3 linked regions of the Tribolium castaneum genome follow. The protein of the gene in region 3 interacts with the protein of the main gene of each other region in a pairwise test. Links are inferred from orthologs where the notes say so. Each region holds a gene or a part of one and is shown on either strand. Other genes may lie near its edges. The genes, in order: Su(dx), SH3PX1 and shi.

The links.
Region 1: the proteins of shi (region 3) and Su(dx) interact in binary tests that used the Caenorhabditis elegans proteins (3 or more experiments, as listed by UniProt). The link is inferred for Tribolium castaneum from reciprocal best matches to the Caenorhabditis elegans genes dyn-1 and wwp-1.
Region 2: the proteins of shi (region 3) and SH3PX1 interact in a two-hybrid assay, tested with the Caenorhabditis elegans proteins (2 studies listed by BioGRID). The link is inferred for Tribolium castaneum from reciprocal best matches to the Caenorhabditis elegans genes dyn-1 and lst-4.

Annotation. Positions count from the first base shown.
Region 1 is NC_087398.1:5,360,657-5,364,898, forward strand, and holds the start of Su(dx) (E3 ubiquitin-protein ligase Su(dx)), read right to left. Parts: upstream 2,827-4,242; 5' UTR 2,520-2,826; intron 2,441-2,519; 5' UTR 2,413-2,440; coding exon 2,358-2,412; intron 1,347-2,357; coding exon 35-1,346; intron 1-34. Other genes in the region: RNA-binding protein NOB1, read left to right, coding at 3,064-3,138, 3,187-4,242. UniProt on the Caenorhabditis elegans protein: E3 ubiquitin-protein ligase which accepts ubiquitin from an E2 ubiquitin-conjugating enzyme in the form of a thioester and then directly transfers the ubiquitin to targeted substrates. Ubiquitinates klf-1.
Region 2 is NC_087402.1:7,277,879-7,280,705, reverse strand, and holds the end of SH3PX1 (sorting nexin lst-4), read right to left. Parts: intron 2,036-2,827; coding exon 1,310-2,035; intron 1,265-1,309; coding exon 879-1,264; 3' UTR 639-878; downstream 1-638. Other genes in the region: CD151 antigen, read right to left, coding at 292-363. UniProt on the Caenorhabditis elegans protein: Involved in the signaling of vulval development by acting as a negative regulator of epidermal growth factor receptor (EGFR) signaling. Aids in phagosomal membrane tubule formation which is required for phagosomal fusion with endosomes and lysosomes.
Region 3 is NC_087400.1:8,007,233-8,011,679, reverse strand, and holds the start of shi (dynamin), read left to right. Parts: upstream 1-1,528; 5' UTR 1,529-1,812; coding exon 1,813-1,976; intron 1,977-2,115; coding exon 2,116-2,189; intron 2,190-4,447.

The sequences.
Region 1 (4,242 bases), on a different chromosome or scaffold from region 3:
TTAGCTTCGCATTTTATTTTTATCAAACAATTACCTAAACTGGCTAATCTTCCACTTGAACGACCTCTCGTACGCCCTCGGCACCCCATACACCCCCTTGGGCCCTTTGGGCGCCCCCGGCCTGGGATCATCAAACGTTGTAGTCTTCGTATTATGATCGACAAAATATCGCTTCCCCTCGTCCGTATACCTGATCTCCCATCCGGGAGGCAACGGCATATCGTCAATAACCTCCCGTCCTTGAGTCCTCGGATCCTCCCATTGCGTGGTCCGATTTTTGTGATTAACGAAATACACTCGTCCTTCCGGTTGCACTCGCTTCTCCCATCCGGGCGGCAAGGCCCCCAAACCATCGTCCTCATCATCCACAACTGAAGTGCCAGGCATGGGTCCAGGCTGAAACTGCGGGTAGAGAAACCTTTGGTTGCCTTGTTGGACAATGTGCTGTCTCTGGCCTTGCCACTGCTGGAAGTGCTCCAACCGCTCCGAATTCGGCCTCTGCCAGGTGGTGGTGCGCGAATTGTGGTCGACGTAGTAGACCCTCCCGCGGGGGTCGCGCCGCATCTCCCAGCCGGGGGGCAACGGTTGGGGGCGCTCCCACGACGTCGAGCGCGTGTTGTGGTCCACGTAGTAGCGGCGGCCGTAGGTGTCATACCGCATCTCCCAGCCGGGGGGCAGCGGCTCCTCGGCCCTCCCGTCCTCGCCGTCGCTGTTGTGCACGGCGTTGCCGTTGGGCACCGTGGCCGGGGGGCCGATGGTGCCGTTGGGCATGGGCGTGGTGGGCGACAGCGCCGTGCGCGAGGTGCGCCTCTCGGCCGTGGAGGCTCGCGACGCCGTCGGAACGACGTTCTCCGTTCCGACATTGCGCACTTTCGCCCGAATTCCGTTGAAGACGCTGCGATTGGAGACGCTCTGCGCTTCGCAGTTGTTTTGCATGAGGGGGGTCGCACTCGGCCCCGGCTTGTGAAACTTGGACATGTCGACGGTCAAGCCTTGAAATACGCAAATTAATTCGCCGACTTTGGCCGGCGATTCGGTCTTGTTTTCGTTCATGAGATCCAGTGTGAGTTCAAGGTTTTCGCAGCGGCCGCTGAAATGCTGCAACATTTGGAAAAGTTCGACTTTTTTCTCGCCCACGAGGGTGTCTTTGCGGAAATTGTTCTTGTCGTAGACGACGAAGTTTATTTTTGAGTGGGGGGTGACGAGGAGGGTGAAGGTTTCGTTCCATTTCGGTTGAGCGGTGTTTTTCACGCATTCGGTCTTCCGGGGGGAGCCACCGTCCACGCTGATTTCCACGTACGTGGAGGGCTTGATGAAGGAACTGTTACGGAGGTGGGCGCACTCGACTGAAAAATAAAATAGCATTTTTGTAGCGATTTAATAACAAAAAGCTTATCGGTTGTTTGTAAACTTCGACCTTGCCAATAAAAATGCAACATGGATTGCATTTTTCACGGAATGTTTCAAGCAACATAAAAATCTCAAAAATGTTGGAGACAATAGTTCAAAGTTTTGTTTTATTTTTATCCAAAGCTCGATGAAAAATAATCAAACATTTAAAGATAATGGTGTTAAAGATAATGAAGCACGTTATTCGGGAAAACCTACAATAAAATAAAGCAAACAAAACAACTCGCGATAAAAGATAAAAAAATACCAATGAGTACGATTATTAAATTTGCTCATATTTCCCCCGAGTTTTTGTCGCAAAATGATGTCACGACTGGTAATCACGCGATAAAAACCAAAATATTATGCTTAGTAGGTCACATAATAATAACAACAACAGGAAACGGTGCCTTAAAAATGCGAGACAAGTCTCAAATGTGGTGATTTGGTTACTTGGCCACTCTGTGTGTCCTTGAAGCAAATAGGTGATATTATCACGTGAAATTGCACCTGAAAAATGTGTCGACACTTTTGTCCTGTCATCGAAAGGATTAGTCACAACTGTCGCCGGATCGATAAAATTGATCCTAAATGTTGGAAATTACACTTTTTATGACGCGTGTTTCTGGGACGTGCCATCCCAAGTTCCATAATTTATGAAGACTGTAATTAATGCGACTTTCTCGTAATAGCCGACTTGTTCCCCTGCAATTCTTAATTCTAATTAGAATAATCGAGGCGTAGCGGACTATCGCAACATTTTTCACTTTCTAAACATAAACAAATACAAATCGGTCCAGTAAATTAATTAGGAGCTACCTATTGTGCAATTAGCAATACCGCCGAACGCTATTAGAAACAAATAACAACAAAACCTTGCCACACACGTTGTGTAATCAGGTGAAACTGTTGTCTCTAAGACTTTGCCCAAATATTTGCGCTCCTTATCGGAGATTTCGGGGACATACCTGTGATGCCGAGCTGATGGAAGCCGGACCCCTGATCGGCTGAAGGGTCCATCATTTAGAACTGCTCATCGAGACGGTGATAACTAAAACCAAGCATCAGCTGAGACCGCATTTCGGCCAAAAACATCAACTTGACACATTACAACCGAAACGAAAACTTACTTGTGGTGGCCTCACTCCGTTATGATAATGGTGATAATCTTAACAATAGAACGCTTGAATTTTGATAAAAACATGAAATTTCACCGACAGAGTAGCCAAGTAATGACGTAAAAGTGATAACAGTGTGATCACCGACACGTCAGAGAAAACAGCCAAATTATTTCACACACGATTGACGGACACTTTACACCTCAAATCGAGAGTCACGGGGGCCCCACACCGTTTTTTCACACACAAACACTCGTTATTTACGAACTGACCGAAAATTGGCCTCCATGTAAAGCACACACTCCATTCTCCAATACGCACAATGTCGCCAACCGGAGCAAAGTAAAATAACTCATTGATCACGATTTTGGGCGAGATTACGCAAATTGTTTGTGTTATTATGACCCGGTAAACTAATTTGAGGCTTGCTCAAACCTACCACGGCATTATTTACACAAATAAGCCCGTTTTGGCAATAAACTGGGGTCTTTGGTCGTATTGTTGGCAACAAGTGTCATCCTCATCCAAGTGTCATTTTTCCACGTGTGTCAACAAAATGGGGGCCGGAGACAAGAAAATTGAGTGTTTGGTTGTCGATACGACTGCTTTTATCCAAAACGCCCCATTACAAGTACGTGATCTCGTCTGTAATTACCACTTTATAACCTTACGCTTGTAGGACGTTGCGGAGAAAATGGTCACATGTCAAAGTGTCGTTGACGAAATTTTGAACAAAAGACAGCTCAAACGTTTGGTGGTTTTGCCTTATGACCTTCAGGTCAAGGAGGTTTTTCCGGAAAATATCAAAATTGTGACAGAATTTGCAAAGAAAACCGGGGATTACCCAAGTCTGTCTGCCACCGATATCCAAGTTATGGCTCTTACGTATCAGTTGGAGAAGGAAGCGGTTGGGGTGGAGCACCTGCGTACTGAACCCGTCTTCCAGAGGACTGTGACCACCACAGGGCCAACTGTCGATTTACATCCTGACGTAACAGGGTTTTTCCTGCCAGGACACACAAAAATAAAAGATAGACCAGGAGAAACAAATGAAGAAACAGATGAAATTGAGAAATTGCAACAAAAATTCGAAACAATTGAATGCGCTGACGAGGAAACAAGCGAGGATCATGACGTTCTGGTGCCAGTTGACGACGCTAGCGACATCTCTGGATCAAATTCCGACGAAGATGACGATGACGACAGTGGCTGGATCACCCCTTCCAACGTCTCCCAGGCCAAAAAACAAGTCAACTCCCAGCTCATTGAGGAAAAACACGTGAAGATCGCCTGCATGACCACCGACTTCGCGATGCAAAACGTCCTCAAACAGATGAACCTCAATGTGGCCGCCCTTGACGGCCGCATGATCAAACAACTCCGGACCTACATCCTGCGTTGTTACGCCTGCTTCAAGACTACGAGCATCATGACGAAGAAATTTTGCCCCAAATGTGGCCTCAACACGCTCAAAAAAGTGGCGGTCTCACTTAACGAAGACGGCAAACTCCAAATACACATCAACGCAAAGCGCCCTCTAACGGCGCGCGGCAAGAAGTTCAGTTTGCCGCGAATGAAAGGGGGGAAGCACCCGAATAACCCGATCCTGGCCGAGGACCACCCCATGCCCCAAAACAGGGCGAGCAAATTGGCCAGAACCAAGATAAACCCTTTGGACGATGACTACATCGCGGGCTTCTCGCCTTTTGCGGTCAGGGACGTGACCTCAAGGTCG
Region 2 (2,827 bases), on a different chromosome or scaffold from region 3:
TCGAAATAAGGTACAATAAAAGTGAATAAACAGCTCAGATAACGTCTGAGAAGAACTTAATACGTATGGCGGCATTGTAGACGTATAATTTGGAGGAGTTTGCGTGCCGTCTGTAGGTGTACTTATGTAATAAGGGCCATCGAAGAGCACAAAGGAGTGCCTTGTTCCTGACCACGATCCGTGAGAATCTCATCGAATTGATAATTAAAATGCAGAATGCACTCATTGACAAATACGGAGCTAACGTGGGCGTGACTTTGTGAAAAGTTGAACGACCATTATCACACTTACCAGGAAGATTATATTGAAGAAGTTTAACACGTTTTTGACAACGTTCAAGCCGCAGCACTCTCTGCTGCCCATTTCGACGGCCGCTTAGTGCCTTTCTGCCCCCATCTGTGAAAAATATTTTGGTTATTTTTAGGATTGTTTGGGTCGTTAAATTTTATAGCTAATCCTGCTTGAAATAGCATGAATGAGCGTCGGGTCAATTTCTAATTCCTGATATGGTCAAAGCCGGTCGATTTTATTGATGTTACAGAAGCGTCCTTTCCGTTTGCCTTAAGTGGTTTAAGGTCACGATTTCCAATTGACGGAGAGTAATGATCTTTTGTCTCGGGAGGAGAATAAAACCAGCGTTCGTGTAAGCACATTTATTACATCTGACTTAACAAAATATATAGAAATATACAATTACATTTCATGTACAAAATATGTCTCGGTGATTCTATTAAATAAAAATTAATGTAAACGTTGGAATTTCCATAATATACACAGCACGTAAGGATAAACATATAACAGATTATATAATAAAAAGTTAAATCACAATTGTTTTGGCTTGGAAATAAACACGATAGATGATAACAAGGCAAGAAAAACTACTCAAACTTCCTCAAGGTGTCTTCCAATCTGCTCACTACATTTTTGTAATAGTTGACCTGTTCTTGCAAAAACGACCGCATGGCTGACCGAAATTCGGTGTTCATCTCAGCCTGGAAATGGTCGAGTTCGGCGAAAACCGAGTAAGTCAGAACATCGGTGCGCTTCCTAACTTCAGTGATTTGCTGGTGTGAGAACTGCGTGTTCCTTTCACACTCCTTCTTCTTTTGTTCGGCGTGTTTTTGCATCGAGAAAATATCGGGGTACGAACTCGTGATCCCCCTGTAGAGGTACAACTTATCGGTTAGCGGCTGCCAATCGATTTTCGCCTGATCTTCGCACAACTTGGCGATTTCAATATAAGTGGTCCCAATTTTCTTCACATCTGAAACAACCAGATTATTCCAAGTCTCCAATCACCTGCAGGTACCTGTGGCCAAATCCGAGAACAATCCACCTTCCCTGTGCTCGAACGCGACCCCGAGCTGGAAAAAGCTCTCGCCAATTTTCGTATGTTCTCTTTTATACAAATTCTCGCATTTTTTCTGCTGATCGGACGCCGTCTGCATCAAGCCCTTGATGCACTGGTCCATTTGGTTAATGTACGATATGCTACTCTCAATTTTACTTTCAATAGTCGACGCTAACAAGTCCTTATCTGGGGCCTCGATGCACAGGCAAAAGTTCGCCCCGACTAACTGGTCTTTCTCCGCTTTTCTCTTGCCTTCCTTCCACTGTTTTTCGTTAGTGCAGGTGAGAAAATGCCTCCAAACGTCGCAAGTCGACAGAACTGGATGTCGACACACGTAATTGACAAACTCCTGCAGCTGCACTCTCCGGTGCTCGATGAAATGCTCCTCATACCGGCCCGAAATCTGTTTATCCGGTAGCGGAGGAATTGCGATTATGTTGAACTTTTCGGAGAGGCGGTCGTGCAGCCAGTCGAAGTGTTTGTAACGGCGGGATACTTCGATTCCGGTGAACGATGGTGTTAATTGATATGCGATGAATGATTTGAGGCCGCCCATTTTTGACGCTTTTTTTGGTGAGGTCACTTGGACCGTGTACGGGTCCGAGATCAGTTCCCATCGGAACACGTTGTCGTTTTCTCGAAATATTCGAATTTTTGTGTGGGATGGGATGTCTTTTAACGTGCCTGAAAAGCGATTGATCGATGAGGGCGATGCGCGCCTCCGGTTGTTGTTTTTTTCAGATTGTACGCATTATCTCATTTAATTAGCATTTATTGATTGTTTATTGGAACAATCAAGGGAGTAAAGATCGAAATATTAAATTCAAATTTTATCAGTATTAATTATTTCTATTGTTTCGTTGATAATAAACAAGGAGTGGAATCCAACATTGTTTAAAAAATGTATTGTGACTTCGTCAATATTTGTAAAATCGATTATTTTTTTTACTTTTAAGTAGTTACGAAAGACGTCTTTTTTCAGTTGGGTATAGTTTGTATTTTTTTTATTGTAACCAAGATCTCATCCAGGTCTAGGAATTACAAACCAAATACATACGAAATATAATGTAATAAACAATATTAAAAAAACAAAATATCTCGAAACTTACGCAAACGATAGCGTAGAATTTTTATGCTTAAATGTCATGTAATGTTTATTTTTTATTAATTTAATTTAGGGTCGGTTTCCCGAATTAATTTATAAAACTCAAAATTTGACGACTTTTTATTTGTAATTCAGTTATGAAAAATAGATACGGGTAATAATAATCGATCTTTTAACGTGTCGGCGCAACATAAATAATTTATAAAATTAATTTCTCAAACAGATACGTTAGCAATTACTGATCTCTAGCGCCATTTTTTAAAATACTTTTAGAACAATAGAACATTTAAGCATCGTATTTTTCAGAATGACATAAGAAATATTTTCTTGTGCATACATTTATTATGCTAATAAATTCATTAAATAATTTT
Region 3 (4,447 bases):
TAGGATATGATACGACGTACAAATAAAACGTTCCCGTCCTTGATAGTTCCGTTAATGTCGTCAGAGAGCGCAGTTTTCAGTACAATGAATGAAACAAAACATAAACATAATACAATTTTTTTTCGAAAACTATGTTAAAAAATGCACCATATTTTTAACAGTTAAAAAGAAAGTTGTAGAGAATTAAATTTCCTACAAAAAAGCCTTATGTTCTATCCCAAACTCGTTTAAATACACCCAAACGACGGATTTATTTTATTTTCCCGGTAGTCAAGTACCAGATAGACTATTAAAACCAAAACCGTTAAAGATAGGAATATGGTCTCCGGACTTTTTTGAAGAAAATTTAATTCTTTATAATTTTATTCTTCACACTTTATTTGTATCTTCACCCGTATTTGCAGAGTTTGCAGGAATATGAGGTGGAACGCAGATTGAATTTTTTTATGTTTCTTATGAAAATTTTAAGCGCTCACATTTTTACTCAGCCGTACTATTTTTTTGTATTCAGAAAAACCGGCAAGTTTGTATCTCGTTTTGTTTCCTAAGTTACAGTCTTTCGTACAATACAAGGAGTCAACAGTGGGTTTTTTTCTGACATGTTCTAAGATGAAACCAAAAATACTAATTACACTTACCACCTGGAGACTATTTAATTTTTTAAAACATCAAATGTTTCAACATTGTTGAAACTAACTTGACAATACCCAAACAATGTAATCGCGGATTAATTTTAAATGTTTTGATGATTACCGATCTGGTCTGCTAGAATCATTGGTTGCATATTAAGAAAAATTAAAAAATAATCCAGTATTGACTCATCTTGTACGTTAAAAAATTAATTAAAAACATATTCAATACAATATAATAGTAATGTCACACATTTAACATTTCATTCGAAATACTTTTGTGGCATTTTCTTTTGCTGTAGCTAAACTGTATTTATAGCAAGAGCACATATGAGTAAGACATTAAAAATAATTCAAAAACAAAATTAAAAAAAGTCAATTATATCACGTCTGACTCCTCAACCGCAATTTATTAATTGTCCTAATGAAGAACTACCATGGAAATTACGAATAGAATCTAGTTAACTTTATAAAATGTCTTGTGTTTTGCAGCTTTGACCGGGTCAGGCGCGTAACCTTAAGCGAATAACCCTGTATATAGTTGGTACATTTTTGCGATGCATAAAAAAAGTAATTTTTGAAGAATTTTTGAGTGATTTTAAAGTGATTATGATTTGATTAAACCTAAGAATTTTTATTTTTGTACAAAAAAACATATCTCAAAAACTATCTTTCTTTGCTAGTTACAGTGAGTAGGCCATGGAAATTTGACATTTGATCACATTAGCCCAAAACACTGCGTATATTGCGTCATTTGATCAATATACACGATGTTTTCCCAAACTGTGCGACATAAAAAGAGTCTCTACGTTACATAATCGGGGATAAATCCCAATTCCCAGAATCCAAAATCCAAATAAATCGCTTATGCAACCAGCAAAACAGTTGTTGAGTGCGCATGCGCCGCTGTATTGATATCACTCCGAATTCAAAAATCCCATTTTATCAGCTTGAGTTTGACATTTATTCTTGAAAAAATCGTTCCCTTATCACTGTAATCACTGTTCTATCGCCCAATTCTCCCCGAAACGTGTAATTTTGTGATATATCTCGTCGTGAAGTGTAAATGGATGAGTCATGCGCGTTCAGTTATGATTCGGCCATGTTCCCAAGTGTATATTGTTAAAGTGTCGAAGTGAATTTAGTTGTTTTCGAGGGAAATTAGCACAGTTCCGGCCTAAAAATGGCAGGAAACTCCGGAATGGAGCAGCTTATTCCCATCGTGAATAAGCTGCAAGACGCTTTCACCCAGTTGGGGGTGCACATGAGCCTGGATCTGCCCCAAATCGCTGTTGTGGGCGGACAGTCGGCTGGAAAAAGCTCCGTTTTGGAGAATTTCGTCGGAAAGTGAGTAGAGCAGCCCCTTTCTGGGGGCGTGCATTGTTAATACGGGGGTGGGTTGACGTCACGTCGGTCTGTGGGGGTGTATTGATTTTTAAATAATTTTGATAACGAGTTGAATGACATTTGTTATCGTTTCTTGCAGAGACTTCCTTCCGAGAGGATCCGGGATTGTCACCAGAAGGCCCCTTATCCTACAATTGATTAACTCCAATTCGGGTGAGTTGGGGGGTTTAAAATGCCACGGTTGGCAGCCCTCAAAACAATTGACGGTGGCTCAGGAGACAATTGCTCCAAGTCTACGTCAGCTTATTTTTTAATTGATAATTTTATCAGTTGGCAATAACGTTGTCAAAAATCTTGTCTCAAATTAGTGCATTGTTTTGTTTTTGTCCGGTACAAGGTCGGTTGTAAAAGTTTTGGAACCGTACCAAACATTTATGGCCCAGGAAATTCGCAAATGACAAGTTAATCAGGCTTGGCCGTGACATACAGGGTGCAACCCAACTACTGCTACCAACCCAAATTATGGCAAAAAATTGTTGTACCAACTGTAATCCTCAAAAAGTCTTTAAGTTTCGTTTTAATTTCAAAAAACAGGCTAAGTGAAAAAAATAAAATTACTTCATTACGAAATAGTTGAACAAATGCACCTGTTATTAATTTATTTTTTCTGTTTTTTAAATTATGGACACAACCTTCAATTTATCTCACAATTGTTTTTAGCTTGTGACATGTTTTAAGTCATTTAGGCTTATGACAAATGCATTTCGTTTATCATTACCAACGTTGGTTTCGTTAGCTATGAAAATAATTGTTTTATAATTTTAAATCGCGGAAATGGCTTCTCGAAAGTACAAACACATTCCCCCAGTTTTTCGTTTATTTTTGCTCCAAAGCGGTAATAAAGCATGTGATTTATGACCGCTTTGAATTCCACTCGCCCTAAAAATGATTATCATCACTTTTTTAAACAATTCCGAATTTATTTTCTTTGTAAACAGAAAAAGGTGGGCTTGAAACGTTCCAAGTGAACAATTCTGCAAGTTCATTGGACCGTTTTGTTTGACTTGCTTTACAAGAATTCGATTTATTTTTAAGCGCATGTTTTAATGAAAAATTCGATAATCTTATCAAAATTTAATCACACATTTGAACCTTCCACAATATTTTTAAGATTTCGTGACCGATATCATGAGCTAAATTTTTACGATTAAACAATAAAACTGTTCTTTGTGGATTTGGAATGTGTGTCATTTTAAACGCACCTCAAGTAACAGTTAAATTTATAACAAATTGTGACGCACCAATTGGGTGAATCATGGGTAGCAGAAATTAAATGTTTAACAAGAAAGAGTAAAAGTTGGAAAGTTTATTCAAATTTAATTTAAAATGAAAAGTGTTCTCTAATGAACGTCGAGTGTTTTCAACCAGAAATTCATGTGATTATGTAGTGCGGAAGAGGAAAAAAATCATATTTGATTGCGGAAAAATTAAGTAATAAAATAAACAAATTCACTGACTTGTTATTTGCTCCATTTTTCAAAAATTATTCCAGGAAATGATGACTGATGAACACATCCCAAAAAAATTTTTTATACAGGGCGTGACGGTAAAGTTGATACAGTCTTGGTAATGAGGAAGTTTCCATTTTTTTCAAATTAACACCATTAATAGTCTCCATAATTGTAAAACTAATGGTACTTTTCATTTTTTTATATTCGCAAAAATAAAAAAGTTAAGAGACCTCAAAGTTCGAAATTTGACAGATTGTGCACTTTACTGGTCTCGCTAGGTGTAACGTCACGCGGCACAATTTTCCACAGCTGCCTACTGCCGCGTGTGGAAAATTCGATTTTTTGAGGGGCTGTATCTGGTTAAAATTAACATGTTTCCAAAATTATTTCGCTGTTCCTCAATTTTTTCCACTTAGCTATTGCACTCCTATATCTTTTATGAATGTTTAATGAACTATTAGCCCTAAATAAAATAAATAAAATTTAGAAATCTCACGTTATAAAACCGTTTGATATAAAAAAATGAGAACATTACAACTTTAAAAAAGAAGAAAATCGTAATTTCATATCTTTGAAAACTCTAGGTTTATAATTATAAACCACATCTACTTATTCATCGAACGTATCTTCAAGAGCATTGACAAATAAAGAAATTGTATTTCTGTTTATGCAAGAGTTGATATTCTTTAATAAGAAGTCGTTTGTTGAACACTTATTTTTTTACATATTTTTTGTACAAAACACTTTGCAAGCATTGTTTGTTCTAGAAATCATAAAAATGTTCATTTGTTAATATTTTTAATTTTTTTAAATTAAATAGTATTTTATTAATATAAATATTTCTCATTAATTAATATTTATTGTTTATAAGAAATTGTAGAAAGAAATCTGAAAAAATTCGATGGCATACAGCAAGAAATAAAGCAAAATAAAATCGCATACGCTGATTTTTATGTGATT